2 linked regions of the Lepisosteus oculatus genome follow. The protein of the gene in region 2 purifies or fractionates together with the protein of the main gene of each other region. This does not show direct contact. Links are inferred from orthologs where the notes say so. Each region holds a gene or a part of one and is shown on either strand. Other genes may lie near its edges.

What was found. Proteins that work in one complex are often made in the same cells at the same time.
Region 1: the proteins of tmub2 (region 2) and rnf185 purify together in Homo sapiens (affinity purification with western blotting; 3 studies listed by BioGRID and IntAct, with this or other methods). This does not show direct contact. The link is inferred for Lepisosteus oculatus from reciprocal best matches to the Homo sapiens genes TMUB2 and RNF185.

Annotation. Positions count from the first base shown.
Region 1 is NC_090717.1:6,587,395-6,594,448, reverse strand, and holds the start of rnf185 (E3 ubiquitin-protein ligase RNF185), read right to left. Parts: upstream 3,017-7,054; 5' UTR 2,632-3,016; intron 2,605-2,631; exon of another isoform or gene 2,395-2,604; intron 2,376-2,394; exon of another isoform or gene 2,077-2,375; 5' UTR 1,978-2,076; intron 1,959-1,977; exon of another isoform or gene 1,693-1,958; intron 1,058-1,692; 5' UTR 1,000-1,057; coding exon 842-999; intron 22-841; coding exon 3-21; intron 1-2. UniProt on the Homo sapiens protein: E3 ubiquitin-protein ligase that regulates selective mitochondrial autophagy by mediating 'Lys-63'-linked polyubiquitination of BNIP1.
Region 2 is NC_090723.1:3,091,196-3,099,003, reverse strand, and holds the start of tmub2 (transmembrane and ubiquitin-like domain-containing protein 2), read right to left. Parts: upstream 3,023-7,808; 5' UTR 2,197-3,022; intron 2,190-2,196; exon of another isoform or gene 2,004-2,189; intron 1,994-2,003; exon of another isoform or gene 1,855-1,993; intron 1,736-1,854; exon of another isoform or gene 1,645-1,735; intron 1,074-1,644; 5' UTR 1,048-1,073; coding exon 503-1,047; intron 1-502. Other genes in the region: asb16 (ankyrin repeat and SOCS box protein 16), read right to left, coding at 4,047-4,232, 4,990-5,103, 5,544-5,627, 7,177-7,585.

The DNA.
Region 1 (7,054 bases), on a different chromosome or scaffold from region 2:
ACCTGATGCAAGCAGGGCCAGCTGAGAGCATTCCCATGGGAGCGCAGAGTAACAGTAAGGTAAAGGGGGAAAAAAAACAGCGAGTTAATTTCCTACCAATTTCCAACCAAAACAATGAATTACATGGACGCTTTATACAAGTGTCACTGCTTCCCTGCTGATACCCATTAGTAGCAAAAGAAACATGCTTAAAATACAACAGCCACATGGTTGATGGGAGTTTCTGGAAGTGATCTTTTTAATAATAATAATAATAATAATAATAATGTTTCTTTATTAGCCCCATTCAATTTCTTGCATTAGGAAATCTTCTTTTCGCATACCCCAGCTTTTCTCCAAGGAGACACAGACACACAGACAGGGAGAGAAGCTTGGGGTCAGAGCGCAGGGTCAGCCATTGTACGGCGCCCCTGAAGCAGTTGGGGTGAAGGGCCTTGCTCAGGAGTAGCAGGAGTAGGATTCCTCTGCCGGCCACGGGATTTGAACCGGCAACCTTCCAGTCACAGGCGCAGATCCTTAGCCACAGAGCCACGGCTCCGCCCATCTTGACCATCATGCCTTGAAAGCTGTCTTCTAGACATTATCAGCAAAGAAGAAAGCCCACAACTAACTAATCTGCTGTCACGACAATTTCTAACGTGTAGCTCACCCTGTGCTTACAACGGAATAGCCCATGCCAATAATTCTAAATGTGCCTCTTCATTCACAAATTGACACAGGACCACACCTGTCCCACCCCCACATCGCACTGACACCCCTGTCTGCGGCTCTGCCCCACCCCCCCCCCCCCGTTAGCACATGGAATTCTGGGAAACAGGTACACGGATCCACGCACACACACCAGAACAGGTGTCCACAGAGACTGATGACCGCGTCCTTGGCTGTGTCCAGGCAGATGTTGCACTCAAACGTGCTGTCCTGGTTACTCCCCTCTCCGGTGGTGCAGCCGGTGCTGGCACTGTCCGTGGAGCCAGAGGCCGTAGGGCCCGCGCTGGCCATCTCCGGCTGTAGTCAAGGGAACGGCGGACAGGAAAAGCTAGCCCTCTGTTGCTGGCTCCTAGAGAAAGCACAGGACAGCGTTTGAGATCTGTTACAAGTATACCGCGAGGCACTGAAAACACAACAAATGCTGCTTCTTCCAACACTCATTTGTTGCACTTTATTGCCTTTTAGTATATTTATCCACAGAGCTTAATAAGAATTCCTTGTATCTATATAGCAATTTTCATTATAAAGTACATCAAAGCGCTTATTAACACAGAGGAAGATGGCTAATATTCAGGACAATGAACTGCAAAGAACAGTGCACAAATATAAGATGCAGTGTCAGAAAACTGGTTAATACAGTAGCTGAACAACTAAACAGTGGACAGAAAATGACTACAATACCAGGACGAATCGTAGCCATGTCAAATCATTTTACAAGGAAGGGCTTCTGCACTTAGGAGAGAGATAGGCAGGTTATTTCAAAACACCATGTTCGCGTCCGAATACTGACACCGTCACAAGTGCAAAACAAAATCCAAGACATCTTTAAAAAAAGATCATACTATTAATTAATAACAGCGAGGAAAACCAGGAGACAGTTGTGATTTCACTGAAACCTTAACTGGAAGAAAAGTTAGTCAAATATTAATGCTTCATCTCTGAATTCCAGCCATGTTAGCATACATTGTATTTAAAAAAAAATACCGTAATTGTAGAGATCTTAGCTATTTAATTCGGAGTATTCTTATATCCGAATTATGTTTATTATATCGATCAAATCCACAAAGTAGTTCAGCAAGTACACTCCAGACAACGACTGCCGGATGTAGTTATTTCTCGTGGAAACCGTGGAAAAATGCTGTCCTTTCAGAATCGGAGGTCCCTTCGTGAAAAGGTGAGTTAGGTGATCGTGTACACCAAGAATAAAAGTCTCTCAACATAACAAAGCATATCAAGTCTCAGCTTGCTCCGCAAATCCCGAGTACTTACTGGACGATTATCTAGACCAGAGCCACCCGTCCAGATTTAGTAACAGCCTGGTGACACCGTCACGAACAGGATCGCACCGACTGGGTCTGAAGGAAAACCCTGACCCCGCACCAGGGGCCAATGGCAAGGAGACAGGTTATCACTGACCCAGGTGCTGCAACAGACCCGCAATACCCCCCCGCCGCCTCACTGCAACAGTTAGATCCGTGTTTCAGGTGAACAGCTCAGCAAATCGTGTCCCACAGAAGCTCAGAAGCATGGTGTAAAGCCCTTGTCGACAACCCGAGCGCGACCCCAGCCGGAGCGACAGACGGCGACAGGCGCAGGGAGACGAGTCCCGGAGGGCCTCACGCAACCCCGGCGCAAAACTGACTCACGCAAAGACGCACGACTGGCGACACAATAGTGCACTCTTACACGAAACCGGTGTCAAAGCCAACTCCCCGTCGTGGGCTTGTGCTAGGACACGGGTCAGGGCCGTTTCATTCTTGTATGCGTCAACGACGTCGGGTTATAAGCAGTGCCGGAGGTACTCGGGGAATGTCTTGGAAGACACCCCCCCCGTGTTTTCACTACTTGTCGTGGCTCGGATCGGCTCGGCGTCCGCGCCGATCGCCCCGAAAACAACAAAACCGTCACGGCACACCGCCTGACCTCTCCTCGGTTTCTCGAGTTTTCCTCTCGCTGCTGCTGCTCCTGCTCCTGGGTCCGTCTGTCTGGTTGGATCCCCTGCTGCCCCGACTCCGACAGCACCCGGAAGCACACGCGCAGGAACGCGACAGCGTGACCCGAGCGAGAGCCGCGAGCCGCGCCGGGACGGACTCGATCTATTTATCGCGTCCCTGGCAAGGAGGGCCGCCGTAGAGAAAACCGACAGACTCAAACGAAACACGTCTGAGGTGTAGCCGAACTATCTGGCGCCGCATTTCTGTTTCCGCCCACTTTAAGAGACGCCGCGGCATGCATTTCGTTTCTTGGGCGAGCCTGTTTCGGGGCCCACTATTGCCAAAAAAACATCCGTCATCATATATTAAGGCTTGTAAGACCCCTGTCTTTACCAAGCAAGTACAGGTACACCGTGTATTGTGGGTCTGATGGTTAAACGAGAGGCCAAGACCCGTGTTGGTTCGGGTTTTGTCTGAAAAGGCGAGAGCAGTGCCCCCTGGCGGTGTCTCGGCGGTTTTACTGGTGAAGCCGATGCCAGGTGAAGAGTGGAGACGCGGGCACGTCGTGGTAACAAGAAGGGGCAAAAGCTAAACACGCGTTTTAGATTGTCCTCACGGACGCGGAATATTCTCAATCTAAAATACAGAACTTTTATAACAGAGAATGGGACGCGTCCGTTTTTATACGGTGGGAGAAAACAAGAGACAAAAAAGGTCATGTCAGAAGTGGGATTCGAACCCACGCCTCCATTCGGAGACCAGAATACCCGCCCGGGGAAGGAGTCGCTCCTTGAGTCTGGCGCCTTAGACCACTCGGCCATCCTGACACTGACTCTCTCTGCCTCTAAACAGGGTTATATGTTTCCATCTGTCCTGTAAATTAATGTACATTCATTTGCGATTAATCGCGCAATGCGTTACATTCACTTCTGCAAATTAATCGATTTACATGTTGCAGGACAGCTGTTTGCCTGGTAAAGAATGAGACATTAAAACGTAACGCAGTAATTACTTAAACCCGTAAAAAATGGATGCATTACATTTTGTAATGTTAATTTTCGTTATTTTTCATTTTTAACAGCTCGATTCAAGTATTAATGTGTCAACGCACGGACGAAAGTTAATGATGTACAGGTAGAACCATCATTTTTTGTAATAGTTGCAGAACATTTCTTATGGAGTTAATTTTTAATTTAAAATAAAAAATCCAAATATTCATATTTTCTCCAAAAATAACAACAACAACAACAACAACAAAATTTAATTTGTTGTTCTGGCACAACATTTCACTATTTAGAAATGACCACAAGAGAGTGCTCTTGTGATCCTTTCTTGTGACAGATCAGAGAACACAATCAGAACCACCACAACCACCACCATAATAATAATAATAATAATCGAGTGGAATGGGTCAAAAAGAGGCCATGCATCTTTCACGATTTAAACTGGAAAGGAAGATGAATAAACAAGCAAAAATAAACGCAGTAAATTATTACACGGTCTTGCACAAGGATTTCATGGCAACATCCGTGCGTCCCCTGCTCACATTTTGCATTGACAGCTTTTGATGATCCAGGAATGGAAAATTAACTTTCACCCTACTGTGAAGCAGTGTCCAGTTGACTTCCCGGAGCATGGCGATTATGTAACGGATAAACAGAAGCTCTGCTCCTTCCCAGAGAAATTGCTGGTCCGACCCGAACACATGCCAAGCCTCCGCACCTCCATTATTCATCAAGGGAGCTAGTTGACGAATGTCCGGGATGCAGTATTCAGAAGGTTAGATCCATTTTCAATACAGCACGTAAATAACTTATGACAAGCCACGGCGATCCTATTGTTCATTCACACCGTATACACCTTATACTCCTTACATCGGCGGGAGTCAAACATCACCTCCCCCTTCTGTCTCGATGCCAGGCATGACTAAAACAATGTGTGCCTGCACTACAATGAGGTGTGAGGAATGTTATACAGCTGTGCAGGCCTGACGGCTGTCAGGGTGGTTAATACAGCTCATGGATCTTGCTGTGCCCTGTTTTTATCAGGTCCCCCAAACAAATACAATAGATTTTTAGGTTTTACTCTAAATAATTATTTGAAAGGGGACTTCAGACTAGAGTTGGTTGCGATTTTGTCCCTCTACAGTCAGTACTATTAATATGAGATTATGAAGAAACAGAACCAAATGAGTTTAGTGGGCTTAATGGCCTGCTCTCATTTGTGGGCTTGATAATGTTCTGATGGACACATGAATTCAGACATGACAGGTACCTGTTGTCTTCTGCCTCAGAAACCTTCCATCAAAGCATCTTTCTGTCTAAAACATGTTCACTTATTTATCATGCTTATGCCCCTATGAAACCAAGGAGATCAGGAACAAAACCAATTTTTTTCTGGTTTGTCCCAGATTCTGGGTACTAAGTACCCACAAAAAGGATGAAAAGATCACATTGTCCTGATATAGTTCCAGCAGCTGGCTGCGTCAGCATGCATAGGCTGCAAAGGAACAAGTAAAAGTTTATTACATTCTGAAAAGAGAAGAAAGGAAACACAACGTTTCGGCTGTGGAGCCTTCATCGTTATAACAATGTTCCTTTATATTGTCCTGATATATGAATTTGATCCCCTATTTTCTTTATATCTGCAGGGTCCTCTTCATTTTTGCAAAACGCGGGGCGTTCTTTTTAACTTGTCTGGATTATTATTAATCATTGTTTGCAGCAGTTATGTTTTAACGGTTTCCTGATATTTTCATGTTCTGCATTCCGCACAGCGTGGTCCATGACTCAGCAGGAGTCTGTCTGAAATTAAATGAACAAGAACCTGCATAAAGTTTTTGGGTGTCAATGATACGGGGGAATGTTTTAAATCACGTTCTGGACTTTAGAGATTTCTGGAAATAAAATAATCACATTTAAGTATAATTGTGACTTTATTTAATGAATTAATGGACTGGTCTGGCTGTGGTGGTACTACGGATTCTGTTTGGTGCTCCATTTCCCAACCAAAAGAAAGAATTCAAAGGACCCTTATCTTATCTGCCCATGCAGGGTTGGTTATGTTAGAAACCACATAATAAACCAGGTAAGGAACTGTATCTCCTGCCTTCCCTCATGTTTTACTTTCTCAAAGGAAAACATATCTTATTAGAAGCACAAGAATGACTCGGCATTCCTGGTAAAGGCTATGGCTTCAAGCTGTGTTGGAAGTAACACCAATTCATATTTGTGAAAAACCGTTCTGACATTTTTCTGATAAAAAAAGAGTTTAATATAATGGTGGTTATTCTTTTGATTACAAATGAGGTGTAACTGTGTTCCATTGAAGCCTTGAAGTCGTTTATAACAATGGCCTGTTTACCTGCATGCTGAGCTACAAAAACCTGTCTGCATAGGAAGCTGCAAAATGTCAGATTGTGTTTGGAAAATCATCCATCCATTTATAGTAAAAATGTTATCCTTAGAGGGGTGTAGTGAGTTAATGGCTAACCTACTGTAGCTCATTATTCACCTTTTCCATAGCGGAAAATGTGTCAATCTATGTCACATATTTGCAGAATAGCAATGGTTAATTGTTGTTTGGACTCCCATCCTGATCCTGCATTTCTTTTATTTCTGTATCCTGTGGTTTTAGAAACATCCAATCATGAGAAAAATGAGATCTTAGGTTTTGTAGTTTACATATGTTTAAATATATAAAGCCAAAACACTTCTTCAGTATTGTTGCCCCAGAAATGTTTTTTTTTGCACCCCTGCTTTTAATGTTGAACTAACGTAAATGACCTATTCTTGCTTATCATGGTAAAAAAACATGGGCAGTGTCCATTTGGATACACTCACCTCTGGCATTAAGCCGCAAGAATGCAGTCCATCAAGACATACTGGAAGTATTCCTAGTTTCTATGCAAATAACACTGCAGACATCAAGAGCACTGAGAGCACTACATTGGCTTAAAGAGACTTTAGCTTATTTTCCCCAGCCATATAGTTAGGGTCCCAATTGTATTTATAGAGTATTCTAATGATCTATAATTCTATTATTTAGCCTCAATGGCTCCCCCTGCCTTTCCCTGTTTGACCTGGAACTTTTTGAAGCTTTAAAAACGTTTTCACTAGGACGCAAGAGCCGCAGTGCTGATGAACTGTAAACTCTTTTTTCAGTCCAAAACTAAAAAAAAAAACAGACTGAGAACTGAAGGGAAAAGTAGGGAGCTGTTCTCAGTTACTAAGATTGACTGCAAAAAATAGATGTAAAAACTCATTTATGTTACTAAAATTAGTGTACGGTATTAACAAAAACTCTCGTATCACCTTACAATGATTTTAAATATATCATAAACGTCACGGGATTTGTAATAGGGTTGTTTTTCTTCCATCTAGAAACACGTGTTCTTGTTAGGGCAGTAGATC
Region 2 (7,808 bases):
ATCTGGTTGCAAGTAGCTTATTAACCCAAAGATCTTGTACAGCCATTTCTTGACAGAGCTCCAGACATAAAAGAAGTTAGTCTAGCCAGCTGGGTCTAATAGAGCAATATACATGTTTTCGAAATTCATGTTACCATCGGCTTTTATTTCCAAGTGTCTTCATCGATGATCTTACAAAGACAAATTGATATAGATTGTAATCATAGCAAATTTTCTTTGTATCTACAATGAAGAGCCCAGAGCACATCCAAGAGATAAAATGACACAGTAATTCAAGTGTTGATATCTCTTAAGTAGAAAGAGGGGGTACATTTAATTGGTATAAAATGCTGTATTGATGAGTAATCGACATAAACAACAGCAAAAACCTACTCAGGTCAAAATGAAGATTCATAGCAACCTAATGCAAAGGGATCTCTTGTTAGTAAGATTGCTAAGAACTCCATCTCCCCCATGACCCTGGATTGGAATAAACGATAAGAATGGAGGTGAGCTTCCCTACCTTTTCAGCAGCCCAACGGTATCATCAGGCTTGACTACAGCCACCTCCTCTGTATCATTTAAGAATTTGAGGCGCACTTGGATCTGTCTGTCTTCGCTGTCTGCCCCACAGCTGCCGTTCTGGTTGCCCTCCTCCTCCAGCCTGGGCGCGGTGGGCTCACTGGTAGAAGCTGCCCTCTTTCTCAGCCCCTGGATATTCAGGAAGCTGTCTATGCTGGCATCGGCTGCCCCCTCCCCGGGCGAGACCGCGTCCGAGGACCCAGACTCGGAGCCGTGCTCATCTTCGTCCTCCGGTTTGTCCTCCACAATCGGTGAAGCAGGCTGGGGTTCACTGGAGTCCGAGACTGGGGGTCCCCCGATATACCCCTCTCTTCTACCGAGGCTCACCAAAGACGTATGGTTGGCAGTAGTGAGGATGGTGCCCAGGATGTGGTCGCCGCGGTCTGCCACGTATGTGGAGAGCCAGGCCAATACCAGTGCCAGGCCAAAAAGGACCACTCCTCCAACTACAGTCACTTCATTACCAACTGCTTCGAGTAGCATCATCCTCGACTGCCAACTCCCATTGAGCTCTGAGCACAAGGTAAAGCAAGCACAACATTAGAGGAGCAAAATGAAGAGCCCTGCATTGATCTTACATTTGTACCACAAAATAGGGCTCACACAGAGGCCTAGCCTACCCCTTTAGAAAACAGGCCACGTGTATATGAAATATTTAACGTGATCTTCCTGTGCAAAAGTTATACATTTCCTAATAACAGGGAAAAAAAGAAGTCAATTGGCTTGCTTGATTTCAGATCAGAAAAAAAACATGATACGTTTTTTTTTCTCAATTATGATTAACACGAGGCAGAACAGCAACACACTTCAAAGATTAACACATATTCAGTAGGATTTCATTTGTTTCACATTTTACAATACAATGACCCTGCTGGATTTTAGACGGCATTCAAGCGCTCTAATCGAACATCATATACTTAATGAACGATGTATTCCCAACATACACGTAGTCCAGTACATTGACCTCCACGATATATATGTCACGTTTAAACACTTTTTTTGCGCGTTTTCTTGTCATTATTAATTAGGATTGACCATCTATGGTATTAAAAACCAATGCATTAAAATATTTCGTTTACGTACAGATTCAATGTGAAGTTAGCAATCATCCGGCTGCGCTTTCCATAGGCTCAAATTATTCAACTTCGACGTTTTGTATGAGAATGTCGACTTTCTAAAGGAAGCGGGTTAAAATAGCAAAACACTGCTTACCAAAATAAACGTTTATATGGTACATAATCATGCTGCAACCACAAAACAATTCTCGTGATAAAAGTAAAATATATACAGTACCATCATGGGTCCTGCACACGATCAGCTACTGAAAAACTGACTGTAAACAGATGAGTTAGTTTGCAAGTTAGAATATAGCAAATTGTTACACTGCGAAGAACCATTTTGTAGCAAAAATCAAAATAGTTTAATTGGGAATACCTACTTACATTTAAATGCGGAAATAACTGTAAACATTATCCTCTTTCAGTCTATCTTCCTCTAAGTAGAAATGTCAACATTAGCTGCGACCTTCGACCAGACGTAATTTTTACAAGCTACAAACAGACAAAGACTGTTACCTAGCCGTTGCCGCACCTTGCTAATTCAACTATAGATATATTTAAACAGATAAAGCATTACCTTTTTAAAATTTTCTTCCAAACTATTTTAATCTGGTCAGCCACCAGCAAATTTACGAAACGCTCACTCCCAGTCCACACACAAACACAAAATGTGCCTACGTCAGACACGGCACATATTGGCTACGTCACGCAGTTCAAGAGGGACACAGATCCCGTAAACCTTAATAATGTTTTTTTGCCTGAACTCGAGAGGTTGTGAAAACCAGATGAATAATATTGACAGTATTTTAAAGGTCACGTTCTTTTACAATACCGTATGTAGTAACAATGTTTAGATGTTTGTCGATTGTGATTTTTTTTTTTACCTCGGTCATGATCGTTAATGATGAATATGTGCATATTCATCCATTCAAGATCTGTGAGACAACAGCGCCATCCGATACATTATGTTTAAGGTTTTGTAGTTCTTGCTACTGTATGTGGAAGATAGAAGATCATTTACCGGGGTTAATGGTGATAATGCTTTAACATATAAATACACATCTTTTGAGGAACACCATTCCGAAATTATTTTAGTGAAAGTAAAGAAAATGTGAAAATGCAAGACAAACTGGTCTCCAAGCACTTTTTCACTTTACTCCAGCTCAGAGTACAGTTGTCCAATTGTAAATTTGCTTCTATACAATATGTACTTTTATTATTTGGTGAGACCAAATTTGCATTGGCATGACTGCAAGTTAATTTAAACACATACATTATAATTATAATAGTTATTTGCATTTGTGTAGCACTTAACTGTAGTTAGAACTTTATAAAAAGCCAGTTGATTTTTTCACATACTGTAAAAAAGAGGACCCTATTTCGTTTATGGCTGCATGTCTGTATTCCCGGAGACGTGCATGTGAAAGATCTCTATTACAACATAATACTTTTCTGTTAATCTCAATGCACTTAAATAACTGTTGTGTGTATAAGATTCATAGGGGCACATTTTTTATTACATTTTTCTCTTCATAACTGTGGACAATTTAAGCAAGCTATTATAAAACAGATTGTACAGCCTATAACAACTGTCAACAATAATTGTGCTGCAATTTGTGCACTCTAGATAAGGCCCTTAGGGACAATGCTCTGTTTCACAGCTGAGCAAAAACTGTGCTTTTACATGTGGAACCTGCTTGGTGATCTGCAGTATTTTACTACATCTACTGAAATTTAAAACACCCTGGTGAACAGATTGTACAAACGTCTTCTTAAGAATGTGTCAAGAGTGTCCCTGAGCTGCCTGGCAAGGTGTTAATCAGCTTTATCCTCTCTCAGAGTTATACCACAGGGCCTGTTTGTCATGCTGCTCTGAGCCACTGTGTGACTCTGTGCTGCAACACAGATGGTCAACCCTAGGCTACCCAGTTTTCACACCAGTGTAGTTATGGAGGGGGGTGGAGGGGGGGGGGGGGGAGATGTCTAGGCCTGGAACCATACCTGACCAGCTTGTTTAGCAGCCAGTCCCTCCTCCACAGCATAACCTAACAGTGTGGACATGCCTGTACTTGAAACCACACCACTAATCATATACTGATGTCCTATCCACATTCCCTTGTCAACTTTCACAGGAGGAGATTCTGGCATTCAGTAGAATACATTATTAAATATGGGCCTGCCAAAAGATATCCCTTCTGATCAAATATATGAAAGCCCTCTTTTGGCTCTAAATGCTGTCTGAGCATCACTTGCAGTTCCAGCATGCAACGACACGGATGTTTTGATAATTATTTTAAACCTGTGATCCAGCATGTGATCTTGTCGCAAAAGTAATTGGAGACATGAAGACAGACTTAGATCTAATCAACTGATTCTTAAAATTTCAAGGAGGAAGATGTCATAAATTCTCTAGCGGTGTGCCAGCCATTAAGTCAGGCATCCTTCCGTGCTGAGCAAGAGGTAGCACTTGAGGGCCTCGGGCAGGGGCAGCTGGGTAATGACAGAGTGGCAGCGATCTCCCAGGTGATGGCGCAAGGCACAGCGTGCCAGGTGTTGCAGTCGACGGGGCTGGTTGGTCATCTGGACAACTGACTCATAAAACGTTTGGTGTTCCTGAGAGGAGGAGAGAGAGCATGCCGATCAATGATTAGACAATAAGGGCTATGCAGTGGTTTAGTAATGCTGCCTCTGCTGTCTCGCAGTGTTGGGGCTCTGGGTTCAATTCCAGACCTGGGGTGCTATCTGCGTGGAGTTTGAGTGTTTGCATGAGTTTCCTCTGGGTGCTCCAGTTTCCTCCCACAGTCTGTAATGGTACGTCAATTGGCTCCTGGGAAAATTTGCACTGGTGTGAGTGTGTGTGCCTATGTTTATGCCTACTGGCTTCCTGTCCAGGATGTACCCCACCTTGCACCCACTGCTGAGCTGGGATAGACTCTGGCTCCCTGTGATCCTGAATTTGGAAAAGAGGTTACATATGGATGGATGGAATAAGAAATACATCTAAAAAATCCAGTGAGGCTTCTTGAAATGTAATGTTAGTGTAGTGATGTAGCCATCTCAGCAAGAAATTGAGAGGAATTTACTGCCTCTCTATTTTAATCACCTGTTCACTTTTATGAGTTGAGAGTCTAATATTGAGAACCTGTGATAGAAACTAGGAAGTTGTGTTTCTAAGGTTTGTGGCAAGTTATGCTGTTTAGTTGGAATGTAATGATTAATGTTTGTTTTGTTTACTATAAATACTGTATTTTTTACAGGGTACAGGGCAAGATCTCAGAGCAGCTTCCCAATGACAATGGAAAAAAAAACTTTTTTAATTTTCTAAACATTTTCAAATTCTTTAATTGTGAAAAAAAAAAACAATATGAACCTGCCAGACTTGTGGTGGAACACTCTCAATCCAAGAATGACACAGTGGGACACTGTCATATGAGTTCAAGATCACTTCCATGGTCAACGGCGACATGGCACACAATTTCAGCATCTAAAGTGACAAAAGCAATACTTTATCGTACTTGCATGAGGCAGACATTGTGTTAGTTTTTTTAAAATGCTGAAAAAATATCACCATTTTCAGAAATACTGTGCTCTTTTCACAGACAACAGCAACATAATATAAAAGAAATCCAGAAGCTAAAATGTATGCATATTTCACTGGTGATTTCAAAGAAGAAAGACTAGAAGAAAGGAAGAGGTGCTAAGTACGAGCGTTTTCAGGAAAGAAATAAGATGCACAGTCAGTGAAGGAAGCTGCTTCACGGGATCCTTTGAGAAACAGCTAAATGGGTGGCTTGAGTCAATAATGAACAAAAGACAAATACGTTTCTAGTTTTTCGTGTTATTTAGGAATAATGCACTTATGTGGTTTTAATCCAGGAAAAATGTTTGCAGATCTCATGCTCAGCATTGGCGTCTCTACCTGACCTTTGGGTGCACTGGCTGTGCCCCGTGATTGAGCAGCGAGCGGACAATGCCCTCTGGTTGGTTGTCCAAATAGTCTTCTACTACCTGCAATGAAGCACAGCATGAATAAACCATGAGAAATGACCACTGCTGAGAAATGTGTAGACAGCATTATTGATTGATCAGTGCCATACAACAGGCAAAATTCATTTTAGTAATAAAGGTCCGTACCTAGATGAGTGGAAAAGTTACCCAGAGAACATACATTGGGGTTCAGAACCAGTTATTTCATTTTGCAAAATAGAAAGCTTTTTATATTTCTAATTTTTCACATCTAACATGGTTATACTGTATATACATTAGAACGTTCTTTCCTTAGCAGAAAGCTACTCTTATTAGAACTAGCAAGGGCCTCACCCCAAAGCACATGACTTCTCTCCCCTGTCTGGTGACACCAGATCTTCACTGGGCCATGAGGGAATGGGCAATTTAGAAAAGCCAAATCAACCCAGGCAGCAAGTCTTGCAGAGGGGGGTGCAAACTAGAACACCCTGTGAGAAGACCGATGACATGCCAACTCCTCAAGGACACCTGAATCCAGACTCTGGAGCTGGAAGGCAGCAGCGGTAACCACCACACCAACAAGATTCCCGATTAACTTTCAAATTGGAATAATATACAAATATATATTCATTTACTGAATCGTTTTTCATTGTCACATCACATTAGCCAAGTGTGACATGAATTCTCCAATCTGTGGTGTAATATATCAAGTGCCAGGCTAGAGCTGCCAAACTTCAAAAGCTGCAGCGACAACAGTGAGACACGTGCAGTTTCTCTAACCAGTGCTTACTCTGCAAGACACAGTGGCACGCGCAGCTTGTCCAATGATGTGTGGCCAAAACAGTGGGCATTTCAATGGAGTTTGTGCACGGGTTCTTGTTGACCCTGGACAGGTTCAGAGGTTGCTGTAGTGAGCAGATGGGATTTACAGATGGCAGTTCCAAACTGGGTGGGTGTGTAAGAACAAAACTGCAGTTCTAAACTGAGAAAAAGATTATTCAATGCTTTAATGTTCCATTCTATATTCCATAAACAATTTTGATAATTAAGAGTGGAATTGTTCTTTAAAGAGTTGAAAACTACTATCCAATAACAACAATTTCTTATGCGCCAGTATACTTACCACACACAACCTCTCAGTGGGGAGGAAGCCAAGTCAGAGACGGGGATTATTAGGAGGCCATGATTGAAAAAGGCCAGGGGGAAATTTGGCCAGGACAACAGGGTAACAACCCTATTCTTTTCGAGAAACGCCCTGGGATTTTTAATGACGACAGAGAGTCAGGACCTCAGTTCTATGTGTCATCTGAAGGACAGCGCATTTTTACAGTATAGTGTACTGGGGCATTAGGACCCACACAGACCGCAGGGTGAGCGCCCCCTGCTGGCCCCACTAACACCTCTTCCAGCAAGAACCTTAGAACCTTAGCAAGAACCTTAGCTCACACCTGCTGAGCTCCAGTGGGCTGCCAGTTGTACGTTGCAGGGTGATATAGCTGCTGGCTATCTGTTTGAAATATCTTCATGTTGTTCCCGGCCATTCTCAATATATTTTGTTTTGTTTCTCAAAAAAGCCCTGCTCTTTACCCACTTGTAACAAGCAGTCCATGGGTGTGTAGCCAGCGCAGTTGGCGAGGTTGACAGCAGCTCCGTGCTCCAGCAGCAGATCTGTGATCCGGTAGCTGCAGTTGGCGCAAGCATTGTGCAGCGGGGTGTGCTGCTTCCTGCCCGCCACCCTGGGGTCACCCCCGCAGCCCAGCAGCCGCTGGACCACGCGGTAGTAGCGTCCGCCCTCAGAGGGCCGCTCGGCGCCCGCGCAGGCCGCGTTGAGCGCCGTCTCCCCCTCGCGGTTACGGGCGCAGACGTCCGCTCCGTGGCAGAGGTAGAGTGCCAGGTGCTCCTCCAGCCCGCTCCTAGCTGACACGTGAAGAGGAGTGACCTGGCTGTCTCTGGCTCGAATGTTCACTGTGGCCCCGTACTCCACAAGGAGCTTGGCACACCTGAGAGAGAGCAAGGATGGAAGTCAGTCAAGAGCCCTTTCCCCAGCTTTAGAAAAGTCGGGTCGCCATCAGAATATGGGAGAGGCAGGCCCGATTGAGCCATGGCTTGAGCCATGAAACACGGTTTTTCGAACATATTGATTCCCAATTTGATCTTAACTTAAACTAGCGAATCGTATCATGTAACACTTGTTGCTTCACTAACGTCAGCCTGGACAGATTT